Xenopus tropicalis: one gene and its partner. The protein of the gene in region 2 purifies or fractionates together with the protein of the main gene of each other region. This does not show direct contact. Links are inferred from orthologs where the notes say so. Each region holds a gene or a part of one and is shown on either strand. Other genes may lie near its edges.

Region 1 (3,178 bases), on a different chromosome or scaffold from region 2:
GGAAAGGGAATGATGGAGCCGCAAATACAGAGGGCTGATGAACGGAGGCAGAGTGCAGAGCTTGAGTGTGCGATTATTTCTGTCCTGCTCAGCTGTTGCACGCCGCAGCCTCACAGGCAGCTCATACTGTCAGGCACAGTTAGGTTCTAACACAGCAGCAACCAGTGCAAAGGTGCAGGAACTTGGCATCAGCAGTTTGCACAGAAGGCCCTGCATGGGTTAATACATCACACTTTAATATATACACACACACACTTACACCCGCAAACTTGTCGTTTCCACAACAGGTTGCCGTGAATCCTGCACCCCAGAAATCATGCTGAGTGAGGGACATCCTGGCATCCATAAAATTCAGTGTTTTTGCTCCATAGAACGATTACAGCGAGGCGCAGCCCTCAGTCAGTCATTGAAAGCCCGGTTTAGTTTTCGGGTTCTGATTGTGCAGGCTTCTTCTTTCCTTTGGGTTTCGTTGTTTTCGTAGAGACCTAGAAATTGGGGGGAAATATGAATATGGAGGAGCACCTTCCATCTTACTAATGTCAGTGTATTGGGAGAAGCTGCCCTGATAATGTAACTAGAGCCTGAGTATCATGAGGGCAAGGGCATGAATACTTTAGGTCTATGTATTGGTGGGGACAAGGATTTATGCCCAAAGCCGAGTAAACATTACTATTCCAGATATTAAGATCTTACCCCCATATGTAATAAAAGACAATACTTTTGCCCAGGAGCAGTAACTCATAGCAACCAAGATGTTTGCTTTTAAATAGGTGACCAGTAAATGCTACAAGCTGATTGGTTGCCATGGGTTACTGATCCTGGGCAAATTTAGTGTCTTGTATTACATAATCCCCAAAGTCTACATGACAGCATGCCTATGTCATTACTAACCTCTCGACTTAGCCCTTTCTTCTTGGAAACCCGCAGACTCTGGCTCCTCTGTAGTGGTTTAGATGGCATGCCTCCTCTTGTCCTAGCTGCTGTCCTTGTTTCGGCCATTTCAGAATCCGACCACCGTTCATCCATGGAGTCACTATCAGCATGGGAAGTGGTTGGGTATCCTGCCAAGAGGAAGGCACAAAACCAGAACAATATTACATCCCATCAGGCCGGTTCCCCTCATACTCTTCCTTCCACCTTTCACTGTTTATGAAAAGTGACTCCTTATAATAAGTATGGACCTCTTCAAATTCCCATACAAGAAGTATCCCTTTAATAAACCATCCAGCTGACCCCCCCCCCTCCCCTCCCAACATGACCTTATCTATCATAGTAAGTTTTGGTTAGGGTGTGGTTACTCTACTGCTGGGCACAAAACATTAACGAAGCCTGGCAATGTGCCACTTATGGGAGTGTAGCCACCCAGCGCTGGTCATAAGCCAACAATGGATAACAGTACTCAGCATTCCCTACAGAGCAAGAGAGCCCTTCAGGGAAAGGCATCCCCCAGGGACTATTTCAGTAAACACACGCTCATCTGGATGCAGCCATAAAGAGACTATGGGTGATACTTTTAGAGATGCCATCTGCCCATTAACTTATCTTTTATACTAAACCATGAATCACATCCAGAACAAATTTGTAAAAGCTACAGATTCATTGACTGTTGGAAATATTTAATACGTAGTTAATGGGGAACTCCAACTTCTAAACCAAAATTTGTTAGAGCCCCACACAACACAGAAACCCCTAATATACCTATCACTATAATCTGTTCCTTTAAAAAGTATGAATAAATATAATCCTTATATGCTGAAATCCAGCTGCAAAGCAGTTCTCTTTCTGCATCATTTGAAATCCTGGCAGGGGAGGGGCTAAAACAGTGATCCACAGCCTACAGACAGCATGCAGGAACTACATAACCCACAATGCATTGCACTGTGATGGTCCTTTTCTTAGTGACATCATGTGTGCAGGGGATTGTGGGATTTGGAGGGGACAGGCTGAAGGCAGGCTGCGGTCAGTCAAGTTCAAAGTAGAAAGTAGTCAGCCAGGGGTGGGGCTTAGGTAACTGTTCCAAACCACACTATTACATTAAAAATCATGAAAAGGCTGTGGTTGCTTGAAATTATGTTTAAAAAAAAAAAACTGAGTGGAGTTCCCCCAACCTCCACATGTGACTAGGGCTGCTATCTCCAGGCAGGAGGGTGGGACGTGACATCACAGGGCGGGACAATGTCATCACAGGGACACAGCAATCGGCTTATTGACACATGAAAATTTGAGAGTCCTTCCTGGTTTTCCAAATTGAAAAACCCGGCAGGCAGTTTTGACAGGGACAACCCTTCCAAAAACTGGGCTGTACGGGTCAAAACCAGACAGGTGGCAACCCTACATGGACATGGGGAAGAGTCTCGCTACTCACCAATTGGCCTCCGGTGCAGCTCTGGTGCATCAGGATACAGGGCATCTCTGTAGTGTATAGGTGTGTCATCAGGAAGAGCACGCAAATCCTGCATGCTGAAACTCCGCAGGCGCCCCACTAATGCGCCCTGACCCTGCCATAGAGAAACCATTTTAGCACAGGGTTCTACTGGTCTCCAAAAAAACTACATCTGACCGTTCATGGAATCTTGAGAGAGCTCAAGTCTTCAAGTACTCTGCCTATGGGCCTAACGGGTGCAAATCTGCACTTAAGTCTTAACCATTAATAAAGGAGTCCTTAAATGTTTATGCATGGCTTTTGTTTCATTATATTAAAAGAAACAAAACAATGAAGGAGTGAATGGAAAATGATAGGTGGGATAACAAACTGACTACTGAACGGTGTTCCAATCAATCTGGATATCCTGGGTAGGTGCCAGGGATGGGTGGCCGGTAGAAATTACCTTGGTAGCAGCTTGCACTGCCGCACTGGCTGCTATGTTTAAACCTTTTCGCCCAATGTTCACAAATGACTCGTAACTTCGTTCTTTTGCCTGTATAATGTAGGAATCGATTTCCTATGAGAGAGAAGAGACATCAGTATTATCACTGTATGGGAAGCCTCAATATAAATGCACTGAAAACTGTTTATGTATTGAGGATTGGGGTTAATGGAAACCTGCATTTCTCAGGTTTCTGGTACAGGGAATAGACTAACTGGATGACAGTCTGCATTTCCCAAGCACTTATCATACAGTACCCTGGTGTTGTTCTAAGAAACAGGTCAGAACAGGAACTCCATGTGCCGCTGCCT
Region 2 (3,657 bases):
AATTAGAAATATAGAGAGCAGTTTTTCACATGAATAAAATAAGCAGAAATATGTGCAAGTGGTATATATTTAGAAAACAAAATATAAGGTAGCCAATAATATATGAGTTAAACCCATCCATTCACTAGCACACACTTATGAGTACGCCAGAGCAGCATTGTGCTGAGCAACTGTTAATATAGCCACCTATGCAGTGTCTGGTACATCTGGTCTTTCCAAACCTACCTTAATAATGCTGTATCTGTGAGATTTAGTGGGGCTGCTGCTAATGACCCACTAAACTGTGCAGGCAGCTTTAGATAGGCCTCAGTCCCAAATCTTGGTTACTTCAGTTAGCAGCAGTTAAAAGGACAATACACACTCCTATTTAAAGTAAACTTAATCAACTGGTCGTATGTCTTACATTAATAGGTCCATAAATCAAAATCTTTACTGCAAACTGAAATAAACAAGCATACTTCACACAATATCCAAGCTAGAAGGGTTTTATCATAGCCACTTACTTTGCCTTTCCTTATACTTGGACATCATATAGCCACGCACACTGAAGTCTAGCCGCTGCAGGGCTGGCTCCAGCTTCTGGTATATACGCCGCCCCAGCTGGTGATATATAGCAAGAGGCCAAAGCAGAAGAAAAAGTACTGTGGGGTGGCAAAAAAAAAAAACAAAGCAAACAGCATAATGAGAAGAATGTTTTTTCTTGCCCAACAGGGTAAGGCACTGATGGCATACCTATCTACTGTTATATGTCTGATGTTTGAAAAACAGAGATTTCAGTATTCAAAAAGCTTGTGAAATATATTTTTATCACATTCAACATGAACCTCTGTCAGGACTACCTCTAGACTGAACAGTAGGTCAAGCCAGAAGCGAGAGCAGAAAGCAGAAGTACATATTGTTATTTGGTTTTACCTGTTTTAATAGGATTTTCTAAACTACTGAAAGGTTCATGTTCAAGTAAAGGGTTTGTAATTAGTATAATGTAGGGATGAACTCCTTGTTCGCCAGATCTTACTGTAAATATGCTTTTTGGTACAAATGACCATTAATACAAATGAAAATATTCAACTTACAAAGCAAATATGACAGCACAACACCAGGAATGTATCCACCAAGAACAGCTAGGAAAGTCAGAAAGCTGCAGGCCAAAAGGCAAAACTGTATATGAAAAGACACAACAAGCAATAGGTTTACATCAGTCGACAAATACATGCAACATAAGAGGCATTCATCCATCAGTTTTGGCCCAAACCTCTTCTTGGTTGGTCTACCTTATTTATTTATATCAAATAGTAGTCAGTACACACACTAGTAGTGTGTTTGGGTGTAAGTCCTAAAGCAGCCACTATATTAGAATGATATGGACAACATTCCATAAAAGCAGGTCACACATGCCTATAATGGATAACGACTCTTCAAATTGCAAACTAACAATTACTGGTCTGTGTATATGGGCCAAAATGACACCCTTCCTAAACAACATCTGACTGACAATCTGCCAGATATCTATAAAAATTCCACTGGGCAACGACCGACTGCATCGGATTCTGGATGCAGTGATGCAAATACCTCTATGGTGATCCAATTGCTGAGCCCAATTCTTCCTACCACCTCAATGGCCTTCTTGTTTGGTTGGCTTGAAAGCCTACAAAACTCTATAATTCTTTTGGATGCAAGAAACCATATTTTAATTATTTTGATAGATGCCTGTGGGGTGGGGGGAATCACCATTTCAACAGCCTTAGAGAAACAGGTCATTTGTCCATATAAAACCAGGTAAAATAGTTTGAGGCGTTCAGAATAGTACACAAAATTTGAATTACCTTGCCCGGATTTTCAGTTTTGAAGAGCAGAAGATTCCTTAAAAAGTTGTAGACACTGACCCATGTATCAGCTGCATGATAGCACAGCTCTGGGACGCTGAGCAGCCTTGGATGCACATAGCCCCAGCTGAAACACACCAAAACTCATCATGAAAACAAATCTTTTAACATGTAGTAAGTAGAACAAAAAGACCTAAAAGTTAAAGAAATAGTCTAGAGATGCTAGATCTTATGTTTTCAGCTTTATGCCCAAGGATCACATGTTCTGGCTTGCAGTCAGTTACATGATCTTAGGAACAATATACAGTATATGCACAGTACAAGGCTCAGATTTACATGGCAGTATAGAAACCAGTGCATGTGAATTATGTGGATGTCTGGATGCCCCTGAACCTCCTTTTCTGCTAATTTTTTGATAATGTCAAACAACCAGAGCACACGGAGCATGTGCAATGCCACAGGCACAAATCAAACAGCCAAACAAAAAATGGAAAATTTTAAATTTAATATTATAGGGCTACGGTAAATAATTGAATATACACATTTATATGTTAGTTGTCTGGGGATATAAGTAATAATTCTTCCTGGTGTCACCAAAAGCAATAAGAAATCACGTCTTCTCGCTCTAAATGTCTATGCAGTCTAATCTGATGTCCTGTTCTCTCATAATAGGTCTCCACAAATCTATGTGACATATTATATATAGTATGTATATATTACTATTATATATAGCATGTAGTAGTATAAAAGAGATAAAGCAAAACGGAGCTGAACATAAAAAGCATAAATGTTTCAGCTGTCTGGCATCAACCTCAGTCAGACCCCAGAAGCATCTGCTAGGGGTGGCATAGAACTACAACTCTCACTTTCTCATAACTAAGGTAGGTAAGGTGTGGCTAGTTCTAGAAGAACTGGTATGGCCAAGAAAGCAATAAGGCAGTAAGGTATAACTATCTCACCTTTCATTCTCCAGTTCACTGGCTCTTGCTGCTGAAAAAACACAAACAGAAATAGTGAGAACTAATTAACTAATTTGAATATTGTATCTTTTAAAGCACCAGGTATATTATATATTCTGTACTGTCTCTTTACAGGGGCAGAATTGGTAGGTAGGTGGTGCAATGGAACAAAGAAAAGTCTTACCAGTGAAAGTCCTTAATGGGGTTTTGCTAGAAGGGTCTGCATTAAGTATTGCTCATGATCTAACCTATGTTTACATGCCATGGGCTTAACTAAACGTGTCCCCTTAAAAGACAATTCACCTTGTAAGAAGACTAAAGGTGGCCATACACGCACCGATATTATCGTACGAAACCTCGTTTCGTACGATAATCGGTGCGTGTATGGCATGTCGGCGAGTCGACCGATATCGCAGGAAGCTGCCGATATCGGACGACTCGCCGATCGGACAAGTTTGAAAATTTTGATCGGGCGCCATAGAAGGCGCCTGACCAAAATTCTCCCTTCAGAGCTGAATCGGCAAAAGGAGGTAGAAATCCTATTGTTTCTACCTCCTTACCTGCCGATTCAGCCCTGAATGGTGTGTGGCGGATCTTACGATGTTTCGTGCGACCGATGGTCGTACGAAACATCGTCGGATCGCCACGTGTATGGCCACCTTAACACTTTCCAAATTCTTTAGGAATGGTCACCCCTTTGTTAATTGGTATGTATAGACAAGTCTGAAATCTTGTCTATATCAAGGTTTAACCATGATAACCACCCCATGGATGTTGGAGAACTATTGTACTGTGGCAAACTTCAGGAAACCTTGGTTCCAGTGAAAGGACATTATAAAAACTGTATGTATTTAGTTTTTCTTTGTTGCCCAGGG

What was found. The genes of interacting proteins can lie anywhere in the genome.
Region 1: the proteins of retreg3 (region 2) and reep4 purify together in Homo sapiens (affinity purification with mass spectrometry; 3 studies listed by BioGRID and IntAct, with this or other methods). This does not show direct contact. The link is inferred for Xenopus tropicalis from reciprocal best matches to the Homo sapiens genes RETREG3 and REEP4.

The regions. Positions count from the first base shown.
Region 1 is NC_030679.2:129,572,408-129,575,585, forward strand, and holds part of reep4 (receptor expression-enhancing protein 4), read right to left. Parts: intron 2,943-3,178; coding exon 2,829-2,942; intron 2,499-2,828; coding exon 2,366-2,498; intron 1,062-2,365; coding exon 892-1,061; intron 486-891; coding exon 420-485; 3' UTR 1-419. UniProt on the Homo sapiens protein: Microtubule-binding protein required to ensure proper cell division and nuclear envelope reassembly by sequestering the endoplasmic reticulum away from chromosomes during mitosis.
Region 2 is NC_030686.2:29,107,760-29,111,416, reverse strand, and holds part of retreg3 (reticulophagy regulator 3), read right to left. Parts: intron 2,814-3,657; coding exon 2,783-2,813; intron 1,951-2,782; coding exon 1,824-1,950; intron 1,159-1,823; coding exon 1,074-1,158; intron 642-1,073; coding exon 504-641; intron 1-503. UniProt on the Homo sapiens protein: Endoplasmic reticulum (ER)-anchored autophagy regulator which exists in an inactive state under basal conditions but is activated following cellular stress.